Linked DNA regions of Arabidopsis thaliana. The protein of the gene in region 1 interacts with the protein of each later gene in a pairwise test. Each region holds a gene or a part of one and is shown in the gene's direction. Other genes may lie near its edges.

Region 1 (4,263 bases):
TCCCTTCTGCTGATTTCACATTTGTTTCCTTCATTGCAAAGATTAAACAGATTGTTCATAATTCAGGCTTAGGGGCACATCTAAATGAAAGGTTGGAGTTGAATCTTACTTGGTCGACAAATTCTAGCAGGAAAGATTGATCTTTTAGATGATGATGAACTGAATAACTCTGTCCTAACAGACGGTGTTAAAGCACATGAAGCAGACATCGATTATTCACAGAGAACAACCTCGTAAAATTTTCAAGGACAAGAGAACCAGATATTTCAGAACTGAGAGATGCAAAAAGGACAAACTTTTTGAGCACCGAGTGTATGTGTGAACTTGCGGGAGAGTTGTGGCGACCCCTGAGCCAGACAAGTCGAATCCGCTCGACGAAGCAGAGTGTTTCTGAAAGTTGCGGTTTTTATGGTTTAACGATTAGGCCGGTAATTTCGACTTAGCTAAACCGGCCGGTTCAGCCGTATTTGTCCCAAAGATCCTGATTTTTTACTCATCATTTTGACAAAAGCTGTCAAGTTGATATTATCAAACAGAACTATTGATTTGTACACAACAAGATATTGAAGCACTCTTTCTTAAATTTCATGTTCTCTAACTCTCTTCCTCAGATCTTGTCTCACTGTTGCATAGGTGTGACATTCTTTTGAAGTAAACAGAAATAATTGACGTGGAATGTGATTCCTGTTATCACATAGATCCATCATTAGTGAAAAGAGCAAACAACACAGTTTTGTAAGTAAGCAAATTAGAGACGTGATACACACGATCTAGGGCCTTATACTTTGATGTGACGAATACGAGTGTTCCTTCCGTTTTCGTGATTCGACAAAATGCCTAATTGCAACATGAATGCATTGACACAAACTTCTTTACAAAAGAATACATCCTGAAACCCATTGAATCAAAAACTTTCTAAAACTTTTTTGTGGAAATTGCAAAAAACAACAGATACTCTCAACGTTAAGTATTTTGGCATTTGAAGCATTTACTCTTCTCATCTCATAAGCAGCTTGTTATTGATGTTTCCCAAAGAACCAATGAAATGGAAACCTCAAAGCAACCTGTACGGTGTGTTATTGAAATCGGTCTAATTTTGGATATATTTTTTCAAGTTCTTCAAAAAAAAAAAATCGAAATAGTATTGATTCTCTTGAATTATGTCACGCATTATAGATAATGTATAGATATATAATTAATAGGGAAAAAAAGAAAGTATAGGGACCAAACACTTAGATCAAAAGCAATGGTGTCGCCTACCTTCCTATCACTTATCTTCAAACCCATTTTCTTCTTTAGGTCGCTTATTTTGTGTCCCTATCAGTTATGAATTATAATATGTGATATTATAATATGTCATATATTCATCGAGTTGCCATCTCTCTAATATATGAAATCCACTTAAATTATTGGTGTAATCTATGGATTGATGAAGGGTAGTAATCATACGTCACAAGGATCACGTATAGATTCACAACAAGACATTGAAATGATATCACTCATGATTCAAACCATTGTTTCTATTCATTTGCAAGTTAAGATTCATAATTCACATTCCCCACATTCTCCACCTTCAAGCCTAAGAAAGACCCTCTCTCTCTCTCTCTCTAACAAAACAAATTGGTACAATTAGAAGGTTGTCTTACCAAAAACTCAATGATTTGATTTTACAAAAGAGGATATTTATATGATAATACCCTCATGAACCTTAAGTTTTACAAAGTTTGATTATTGTTGCCAAACAAAAAGATCCTCTCAAAAACTTGAAAGGCCAAAAGGAAAAAAAAAAACACAGAGAAAAGACACAAAAGAGACTAACTTAAGAGACTCCTCATCTCATGTTCATAAGGACATGACCACATGGTAGGTTATGTCAATTAGACCCCACAACTTCTCATCTCACCTTCTTTGTCCCCAACCTCCTCCACTTTTATCAATTTTGTCCCTCTCTCACTAGATTTCGAATCTCATGTGTGTGGGTCAATGTTGCTTTCTATTTAAAGCTAAGAATAATTATATCTAATGGATTACTTTTCTTCCACACATATATAACTTAACTCTCTCTTTTTCTCTTTTGCTTTAACCCCCTCAAAGAAAAGATAAGAGCCTTTTAAAGTTTTTTTTTTACCTTCTCTTCATGGACTTGTCTGTACTTGATAGGCTTAAGTGGCTGCAACAGCAACAAATGGTTTCACCTGAGTTTCTTCAGATACTTGGCTCAGATGGGAGAGAAGAGCTCAAAAGAGTTGAGAGTTACTTGGGAAACAACAATGATGAGCTGCAGAGTTTCAGACATTTTCCCGAATTCGGACCGGATTATGATACTACTGATGGCTGCATTTCTAGGACAAGTAGCTTCCATATGGAGCCAGTGAAGAATAATGGACACAGCAGAGCCATTACCTTGCAGAACAAGAGAAAACCAGAGGTTTGTAGCTCAAGAAAGTATTGAGTATTAGAGTTTAGATTTTGTTTGAAACATTGTTTCTGATCGTTTTAACTATTGGTTTTAGGGTAAGACAGAAAAGAGAGAGAAGAAGAAGATCAAAGCAGAGGATGAAACAGAGCCAAGCATGAAAGGGAAATCAAACATGAGTAACACAGAGACATCTTCAGAAATTCAGAAACCAGATTACATTCATGTTAGGGCTAGACGAGGTGAAGCCACCGACAGACATAGCTTAGCAGAGAGGGTAATTAACTAAAGTGTTGTTGTTAAATAGGTTTCAGAGAAATTACTTTCATTAGAGATTTGAGTGGTTTTATATTTGTGGGATTTTGGCAGGCAAGAAGAGAAAAGATAAGCAAGAAGATGAAATGTCTACAAGATATTGTTCCTGGATGCAACAAAGTTACTGGAAAAGCTGGTATGCTTGATGAGATCATCAACTATGTCCAATCTCTGCAACAACAAGTCGAGTTCTTGTCGATGAAACTCTCTGTCATAAATCCAGAACTTGAGTGTCATATCGATGATTTATCCGCAAAACAGGTGAATAATAGTCAGTTTTCATCCCAAGAACTAACCAAGAGTTTAATTACCGCATTTATTGACTGGTTAAATATTGGAATCTAGTTTCAGGCTTACTTCACAGGTCCTCCAGAAGGTGACTCGAAGCAGTCAATCATGGCGGATTTTCGGTCTTTTCCATTACATCAGCAAGGATCTTTAGATTACTCAGTCATAAACTCAGACCACACCACATCTCTCGGCGCTGTAATAATCTTTATCTCAGACAAATCTTTCATTAGTCCCAATTTTTTGTTACTTGTCCGTGAAGTAACTTATTTCTTATTCTGTTTTGCAGAAAGATCATACATCATCAAGCTGGGAAACTCACTCACAGTGTCTTTACAACAGCTTGAGAACCGATTCTGTTTCCAATTTCTTCAGCCTCAAGTAAAAAAATTAGGGATAGCCTCATTAAAAAAATCGCGGTTTTTTGTTGTTGTCTTATCCATTTATCTATCTTATCTGAAATTTGAACCAAAAGAGACAGAGGAAACCAATCCAAAGATCTTTCTCAATCTATTATCTTCATACAAATATAGTGATTTACATATATTCCAGGGGATATGTATATGTGTAGAAGAAAGAGAAAAAACTCTTGTGGTCATAGCAATTCCTTTTTTTGTACATTGTAGAATCAAACTCTTGTGGTCGTAACAATTATTTCCTTCACAAATTACAACTACACTTGTATTAATGGAGATGCCTTTTGGCCTGGTATCAACATATACAAACCTAAGCCAACAAACAGAGAGCCAAAAAAAAAATCAAAAAAATTTCTCAAAAATTAAGTTAAATCCAGCCTAATAATGTATCTTATGCTTCTTTCTATTTTTTCTTCTTCTTGAGACTGGAGAAATTGAATCCAAAAAGACCAGATTTCTTGGGAGATGGTGTTATTTTAACAGGTTCCGGATGAGTAACTGGAGTAACAACCTGTGAAGTAGGCGAAGCAGTTGTTCTTCCTTCTGGTCTGGAGGAAACTTCTTCTTCTTCTTCTTTGTCGGAATCTACTTCTACAAGAGCTCTAAGTAATTCTGATGCACTCACCTTTACTTCCTCTGTTCCATTGTTGGATATCAAGATTAGAGATGAGTAAATATCAGTTGCTTCTCTCACGACAAGACAGCAATACTCTATCTTCTGCACACAGAGCTGAAGGAGGATGGAGATTGCGTTCTCTTGCTCCTCGGGAACATTTGACTCGAGTAATTCAGCTATGGAAGCTAAACAATCCGGGGTTTCGGTGATAC
Region 2 (3,741 bases), on another chromosome or scaffold:
TAATCTTCCCCTTTCTTAATTCTTAAAAAAACATATACTGTCTTGTCTTTAACCAAACTCTTCTCTTTTATTTTTGTGGCAACAAAAATAAATAGTGAAAGGGAATCATCTCAAACTCCTCCTAGATATAAATATTTAGGTTTTCGTCATTAAATAAAAGTTATTTTGGAAAAAATAGAAACAACGAACAAGATACAAAAGGACATAGAATTGATTATTCCAAGACGACGAATGTGAAAGCTGGCTAAAAGCTAAAATTAAATTTCGAGTGTGTTATTTTTGTAACATATTTAATGTAAGTGCAAATACATAAATAAATAGATACTAGAATTGGGGAGAGTGTCAGTTTGGTAGATGGTGAAATGCGAAAGGCACCCGATTTTTGTAAATCTCAATCCCGAGAAACCAAACCCTCCTTCGTCCCCTCTTTGGAAACATCATCTCTTTCTTTATTTCTCTCTTCCATCTTCTTCTTCTTCTAAAACAACATCTTAACAATTTTTAGTATTACTAAAAACCCTAGACGTAAAAGAAATGTGTTATTCTGTTCCTGATCTTTGTCTTAATTAAGACCATACATTATTTCTTTTAATTAGATGTCAATCATTATTCTTTACTAAATTTTTTTTCTTGAGTAGATTTAGGTTAATTTGCAATCTTGGATTAAAGACCTACAAAAATGCAATTGTTTTTTTTTAATGCAATTATTTTTTATTAAGTCTTTATCTAGTTTTTATATCATATAGTTGACAAAAGAAATGCACCGGAGGGCTCATTTATGGAACCAACATTAAGTAAGATTTACTATAACGGTTTTATGTATAAAAGATGTATATTATAAAGATCTCTAGCTAGAAACATGTAACACTATATTCGAATCCAATAACACTAAACTTCCTTGGCTTTCTTCTTGTTATATAGTGGCCATTTCTCTAACATTATAGATATATTGAGATTGTTGTTTTTACGTGGTAAGAAATATGGGATGTTAATTGGAGTTTCTTTTAATAAGAAAAAGGAGTTGACAAAAAAAAAATGAAGGACAGATTTAGGAGGTCACTGAGGTGGGGGGGACCCAAAAAAGGGTTGACACGTGGCCACCATGCCCGATAGATATCATGTGGATCTTAGTAGGATTAGGTCCTCAATTGTACGAACAAGTTCACTATCTCTTAGAGGATCTATTTGATCTCATCCATCTAATAATAATACTATATTACAGTCTGTACATAATGTATAGAGAGGAGGAAGCACATGGGAATGGGGCTTTGAAGATGGAGATATTCATGTGACCCGCACATGTCCTCTCCTCTCTCTTCCTTGTTCCCATGCAAGTAGTGTCTCACTGTATCCTTCTTCTTTTCCTTCCTTATCTCCACGCGCGTGGTCGTTTTCATTTCGTCCGTACTACGTAATTACGACAAAACTTACTCTTATACCATCAGGCATTAGTCCATTACCAGGCACCACCCGAATGGCCTATAAGCATAAGTGCATAACTATAGGGTTTGTCGTCGTCTACTTGAATTTTTCTTTTGGAAATTTAAGCTCACATAAAATAGTTTATACTCTTTATTCTTGTTGTAGAAAATAAGACTGGTAACTATGCAAAACAACGTATAGCAGCTATTACATTTATGGCTAAACCAGATCACAAACCATTTAGAGTTTAAATTAAAGTTCGAATAATATTTTAGCAAGTAATCCGGCTTGATAAATAAATGAGACACTTGCTAAAAGTAATCCGGCTTGTATTAACAACGCATATCCTAATACAATAATAAAGCATTGTTGTATAATTAGTTAATTACTATGTCAAACGTCTAGCTCTTAAACAAACAAATTTAACGTGCCAAATCTCATTTATCAAACAAACAAAAAAATCCAATCTAGATGCGAGGTTGATCCACTTAAGTGAGTGATGAGTCCACTAAAGTCTAAACCAGTCGACATGGCGCGTGAAAGCTCTTCTTCTAAAGATCCAAATCTGTGGAAGCAACCAAAGTAAGAGATAATTAAATAAATCTCCACAATCCGAAACACGAGGATAATAAAATTAAAAATAACGCACAACTGGACCCAGCTTTGATGGCAATACCGCTCATTTAACCATTTCCCAATTTCTAAATGTAGAATTTATTTTATATCGTTTCAATTTTTACATCGTTTTTTATAGACAAACCAAACCAAAATTCGTTCATAACCGAACCTTTCACTAATGTAAGCAAACAATGTAACATAAAGCATAGCAAACCAAATCAAACCGATAGAGTATTGTCTCTAAACTCGCAACAAACCAAAATAAAATCAGGTTGAACCGACCACATTTCAACATTTTTGTCTACTAAATCCATCATCACTCATATATATATATATAACACACACAGTTACACATATCCACATTCCTTACTTGTTCATTATTCTCTCAGACTCATCATTCATCTCTCTCTTTCTTTCAATGGAAGAAACTCTAGCCACTCCCGACGCCACGAGACGCTCTCTGTCACCGTCATGCTCAGCCACCGTGAAATCACGCGCCGCTGGTTTCGAGCGCAGAACCAAACGGAGATTGTCAGAGACTAACGCAAGCGTACGTGAAGACCGAGAAGAAGCAGAAGAAGAAGAAGATGAGGTCAAGGAAAAGATTGAGGCGTTGCAGAGGATTATCCCCGGAGGAGCGGCGCTTGGTGTGGACGCGCTCTTCGAAGAGACAGCTGGTTACATTCTGTCTCTACAATGTCAGATCAAAACCATTAAAGTCCTTACTTCGTTTCTTCAACGCATAGATCAAGAAGACATGAAGTTCGGAGGTTGAAGATTATCACACCAAGACTGCTCTTCTTTCTTCGATTCCTAAAAACAAAAAAAAACGTTTTTTTTTTTCAAATCTTTTATTTCCTTTTTTATAACATGGGATTTTAGCTTTGATATATGAGGAAAGAGACTCAACATTTTTTTCTTCGAATTTTTTTTTTCTTTAGTAGGAGTATAATCTTTAATTTTAATGTTCTGATTTATTTATTAAGCCGTTTCACGGTTATGAGAAGTGTTCATTAACGAAAATTAGCATTAATTAATGTAGTTATATAACTTATTTTAGTAGGACGCCATATAGTATAGATATTAAATTGGATCACGAGGTTTCACTTGCATATGAGATTTGACATTAATGATATTGAGAAAGTTAATGTTACGTGGCCCATTTTTAAATCTGGATGAGCTCATTTCACATGCTTTATTATAACAAAGATTTCCAAAGTCGGTCGATATTTATTTAAGCTTATGATGAACTTACTAGATTTGAGTTCCCGTGGTCCAACAATAGAGTTCATGTATATTCCTTGTACATACATATACAAGACAAATCTTTTTAGTCGTGTAAGTACTAGAGCTAGCATCTACACAGAAATTTAAACACATTTGCCGCTAGAAAAAAAACAATATCAGTTTTAGTATTCATTATAACGTAATTTCTGACCCACAACAATGCAGCTATATCGAACTCTATGGAACTATTTACTCCACACATAGCGGAAAGTCGGGGAAGATATAATTTTCTTACCAACCCTATCTACTCTCTATCCAAATTACATTACAAAGATGAATTTAAGGTTGAACATCGTATAGTACGAAGTTGTAATCAATAATGTTAACTTCAACATCCTTTACCAAACCAAAATTTAAAATAAAAACCATTGATAGATTATAACTAATCACATCCTGTATGGGCTAAAAGCCTAA
Region 3 (5,166 bases), on another chromosome or scaffold:
TTAATATAATAAGAAAAAACTCATTACATCCGAGATACATAATGATTTGCAAATAAATTTGAAAACCTTAGATAGCTGGAATTATGATTTACAGTAGTAAATTTTCATAGTAACAAATTTGAACTTCCAATCCGAAATATATTTATTTCTATTAATGGAAGATAACAATTACAGCCAGCAACCTTTGTGATACATGTTTTTTTTGTTGTTGTTGTTGAAGTAGAGCCCATGAGAATTACGCAAATCGCAGATTCGAATAGTGGTTTCTTTGACTCAGTTCGTAAAACAGATAATTCATTAGGTTGCTTTGTTCTTCACCAACAAATTTTCTGCTTGATTCTAAAGTATAAATTGAGAAAATTTAAGTATCTAAATCGAAAATATATTCTTAAATTCGAAGTAGATAAACTATTTTATTGTAAGTGACACTTTAGTGAATAATTGGATATGTTGTTTCTTATCATTAATTTGTCATGTGGAATCATTCTAGCTTATAACTTTCTAAGGTACAGAGAATATGCCACGTTACTGACACAATTATTAACCCTTAGCCCTTAGGTTAAATGAATACTATTATCTATGAAGCATTGCGCATTGCGCTCTGTTTCTAACATCCTTTCCACCCGCCTAAAAACATCTTAATACAGTATATATACCATTGTGGTACTTTTATGTCTAACATAAACTAAGATAGGTATTTTCCATTTTAACTGCTGATCAAACTCAACATAGTGAACAGTACAAACAAAAATCAAACTAACAGTAACTTTTCTAGAAAATTAGTTTGAACGTAGCTAGCTTTATTTATATATGAATTAACCCAATGGAGAAGTTCAGAAGCTCCTTTTTTCAGCAGGATATATGAATAAAATGACGCCACTCCCTTATACTTTACCCAACAATCTATTAATCTTATATCTACTTATACATATACACAAAATTTAATGAAATTTTATTCATACATATTGATAGATACACATACAAAACTTTTTTTTGATAAAATACAGGAGTTAATTTCAGTGATCTTTTCTTTACAGGGAAAGAAAAAAAAGCCGTAAAGAGAGGCAGTGCCACTAACCCTACATCGCACATGCATTTCGTTTGGTATATTACTTTATGCGTAAAGTAGTATTTTAAATACAATTCCAATATTTACGAAATCATTGCACTGAATACAAAATCCAAAGTTTTGAGTTTTTGGCCCCTCTCTTTTTGCCCTGTCAGTCCATTAAACGACCACTATAAGTCGTAAATGGATTTCTCCAATAGTAATATGACACGTCATCCTTTCGTTTGAATCTACCTTCCTCCTCCATTCCACCAAAGTATCGGCCTTTATACAAGTTTGTTTGTTTTCTCTTTTCGTAAACATCTTTAGATATCAATAAGCTAATTTAGTAATTAAGATTGTACCCTAAATTGATTGGAAACTATCGTTATGGATGCTCTACCCACATTAGGATCTTTGTAGCATTTCTATTATGTATTTTACTCTCTATTTAGATTATGTCTACAAAAGATCGAAAACTCGTGATTGTAAGAAATTTTGTATATAAATTTCTTTCTAAAATCTCTGTCAAGAGGGTAAGTTTAAAAAAATAATTGTGAACTAATCAACGTGGAACAAAACTTTTTAAGTATAATCATAATTCATAAACATTGCTTCAAGTCACAATGATGTCTCTGTCTCTCATTATTCCAAAACCATTAGAGGTTATAGAGCCAGTTAATTATAACTTATCAATTCCACTAGTGTTGAGAATGAAATTATTTGTTTCTTGGTGGTATTCACGAATTCTCTTTATCATGCATTACAAATGCCACTTTCGTATCTGGCTAAAACAACAAATACTAAAAAACAAATTGACAAAACGACGCCGCTTATTAACTGCTACATCTAAAACGGGGCCGTTTGTTAACTGCTACGTCTCGTGATAGTTGATACCTCTCTCCCTTTATATATCTTCCTCTTCTTCTCCCTTCCATTATTCTCCACAATTTCATAACTTTCTTCCGCTCAACTTCAGATAAATTCGGATTCTGTAGCTCTTTCAATACGACTGCGGAGATCAGAGCCAATTATTTGGTTATGGCGTCTCTGATCTCAGATATTGAACCGCCGACGAGTACTACTTCAGATCTCGTTCGGAGAAAGAAGAGATCCTCTGCTTCATCCGCCGCATCGTCTCGTTCAAGCGCATCTTCCGTCTCCGGTGAGATTCACGCGCGATGGCGATCGGAGAAGCAACAACGGATCTACTCAGCCAAACTGTTCCAAGCGCTCCAACAAGTCCGCCTCAACTCTTCCGCCTCAACATCATCATCTCCAACGGCTCAGAAACGAGGAAAGGCCGTCCGTGAAGCCGCCGATCGAGCTCTTGCCGTTTCCGCTCGGGGAAGAACACTCTGGAGCAGAGCGATCTTAGCTAATCGGATCAAACTGAAATTTCGTAAACAGAGACGTCCTCGAGCTACGATGGCGATTCCGGCCATGACTACGGTGGTTAGTAGCAGCAGCAACAGATCGAGAAAACGGAGAGTGTCGGTGTTGAGATTGAATAAGAAGAGTATACCGGATGTTAACCGGAAAGTACGTGTTCTAGGCCGGTTAGTTCCCGGTTGCGGTAAACAATCCGTACCGGTGATTCTAGAAGAAGCAACTGATTATATTCAGGCTCTGGAGATGCAAGTGAGAGCCATGAACTCTTTAGTTCAGCTTCTCTCCTCCTACGGCTCAGCTCCTCCACCGATTTGATGAGGTTAAAATCGTCTTTTTAATTCTACCATCTCTCGATCTTTCACAGCTTATGTGTATATAGAAGATTCGGTTTGATTATAATCTGTAACTACTCTTCCCAACCGCTGATTCTTCTCTGCTACAAGTAAAAGTAAATTTTGAACCGAGTCTTCCCATTTTTACGATCCTCAAGTCTAAATTAAGTATATGATTGATTAATAAAGTCTTTACCATTAGGGTTCAAATCGTAGTTGGATTATTTGATTTAGATTGATGAATTCGTTGTTGATCAAAAAAAAAATAAGATTGATGAATTCGTTATTGGAGTTAGTGGGAAAATGGGTTCCTCTTTTAACCTCATAGTATGTGATAACTAAACCAATATGGAACTTTTGATGTACTTTTAGTTCATTCAATATGGCTTTGTACTATATCATCTTATGTACTATATGAAATTTCAACATGAAATAGATTTGTACTGCAATAAAGTGGAAAGAAAATAATTTCCCATTTAGAATTTTAAAATACATTATAGTAGATGTAGGAAGATAATGGGTTAACTTTAGTTTTGATTATGGTAGCATGTGATGATGCATTAGAGAATGAATGGAATGATACATTCAAATTCATTGAATTGAATGATGACTGATGAGATTGATCTGTCACTCAATCATCTACTCGCTTTATTGCCCCTCCTTTGAATCCCATTTTTGATACTTATAGGTTGTTTGTCTTCTTTTTCTTTTCTTTTCCTTATTTCACAAGAAATATAAAGGAAAAAAAGAAGAAAAAAGATTAAATTAGCTAATAATTCCCTGTTACTAAATAAGTTTTCTCAAACACTAATCTGCAGTTCTGCACGTACTGTATATCCTTCAATATTCATCACGAAGCAAAACTGAATAACCTGTAGTTAAAATTGACTTAACAGGAGTTTGATTCATTAGCTTAATTAATATACGAATTTCTGTGATAGGGATATGATTTAAGAACACTGGAGTATGACTAGGCGACAACAAGAGACAAGTGACGACAAAAGCAAAAAATATTTAAAACATAGAGAGAAGTGACCTTAAAAGTATGAGGAGGCACATGGGAGTGGCCATGCCTTTGTCCTCTTGTTTCTTTTTAAGCCTTCTCTTATTAACTTGCACGACAACTCTTTTCATCACATATTTCATAAGTTATATTATTATTGCCAAAAGGGACAAACTATTAGAGAAAATAAACCGCAACATTGTAGAAGATTGGATTAAAACTCGCCAACACACTATTAGAGAAACTTGCCCAGATAAAATTATGTCCATGTCGAACACAGTTATAACCAAGGAGCCTAATTCCCAAAAAATGATTTTTATATTTGGAAACCATCCATTGCAGATACTCCTGGAGGTTTCTCCTAGTCTTCAGTGCCGAAGATTTCACGACAAAAGAAGACTTGAAAATCTCGATACTCTTTTGCGGAACTTTCCCACCGCGACACAAAGAGATCACTCCACAGAGATATGAGGCAGCTTTGAGTCCTTTAGACGCGGCTTTTGCAAACATTCGATCCCTTTCTCTTCATCAACAATATTACTGAATAGGTAAAAGCACTTCACAATTCCTTCACGAGCCACTGCTTCCGTGTTTCCGCTCTCTCTGCATCTCTTGAGAAAACTCTAGCTTTAGTTATAGGTCATCGTTTGCGGTTTTGATTTCGTCGAGGCAGACGTGTTCGAGAACTTGAGGGTCGTTGCAGAGATTATGTAATGATTTGCATACGAGGCTGAAGTTGAACAAGCTTGAGTGAAGAAAGAGCCACGCGTGGCAAGATCTCCTTCACAACCACTTCTTCTGGGAGAGACTCCATTTTATAGTGATTTGAGAAATGATATTTTAATTTAGGGTTTCAACTTAGACGTTTGCTTATTAAATTGTGTGAATAAATAAATATATATATATATATATATATATATATATATATATATATCATTAATAAATAAATAAACGATAAGAGTAACCTTAAAAATCTAGTTGAACCCTAAACCCTATGGCTAATATATACAATGTAATATATTATTCCTCTAATCATCTTTTAGAAATTTTTTATTATTTTTAATTTACACATAAATCAATATCTTTTTCAGATATAGTTTTATCTACATTGTATGTAATACCTCCATGTTGCTACACGTTAACACTTGCATATTTGTTACTCAATCTAATTAAGCAGGAATTAAAAACAACGGTTAACCGGAAAACTTTTACTATTTATCCATTCAGTATTATCTTATAGCTCAAATTACTTTTAGTTTTTACATATAGGATATAACTCTCACACACGTAAAATACGATTAAATTTAAATTCAAACTAGGACACTTATCTAATCTAGTGTTATCTGAATTCATAGAGTGTTAGAAGAATTAGGAAACGTTTTTTAATCAAT

Evidence for each region. Proteins that work in one complex are often made in the same cells at the same time.
Region 2: the proteins of BEE2 (region 1) and PAR1 interact in a two-hybrid assay, tested with the Arabidopsis thaliana proteins (2 studies listed by BioGRID).
Region 3: the proteins of BEE2 (region 1) and AT3G06590 interact in binary tests that used the Arabidopsis thaliana proteins (3 or more experiments, as listed by UniProt).

What each region holds. Positions count from the first base shown.
Region 1 is NC_003075.7:17,241,562-17,245,824, forward strand, and holds BEE2 (BR enhanced expression 2), read left to right. Parts: upstream 1-2,021; 5' UTR 2,022-2,137; coding exon 2,138-2,428; intron 2,429-2,513; coding exon 2,514-2,693; intron 2,694-2,785; coding exon 2,786-2,992; intron 2,993-3,076; coding exon 3,077-3,217; intron 3,218-3,308; coding exon 3,309-3,404; 3' UTR 3,405-3,735; downstream 3,736-4,263. Other genes in the region: AT4G36530 (alpha/beta-Hydrolases superfamily protein), read right to left, coding at 1-28, 110-209; AT4G36550 (ARM repeat superfamily protein), read right to left, coding at 3,839-4,263. UniProt on the Arabidopsis thaliana protein: Positive regulator of brassinosteroid signaling.
Region 2 is NC_003071.7:17,835,905-17,839,645, reverse strand, and holds PAR1 (phy rapidly regulated 1), read left to right. Parts: upstream 1-2,027; 5' UTR 2,028-2,458; coding exon 2,459-2,815; 3' UTR 2,816-3,230; downstream 3,231-3,741. UniProt on the Arabidopsis thaliana protein: Atypical bHLH transcription factor that acts as a negative regulator of a variety of shade avoidance syndrome (SAS) responses, including seedling elongation and photosynthetic pigment accumulation.
Region 3 is NC_003074.8:2,052,236-2,057,401, reverse strand, and holds AT3G06590 (basic helix-loop-helix (bHLH) DNA-binding superfamily protein), read left to right. Parts: upstream 1-1,735; 5' UTR 1,736-2,089; coding exon 2,090-2,755; 3' UTR 2,756-2,759; exon of another isoform or gene 2,760-3,713; 3' UTR 3,714-4,323; exon of another isoform or gene 4,324-4,402; 3' UTR 4,403-4,655; downstream 4,656-5,166. UniProt on the Arabidopsis thaliana protein: bHLH transcription factor that binds DNA on specific sequence 5'-CANNTG-3' in target gene promoters. Negatively regulates brassinosteroid signaling.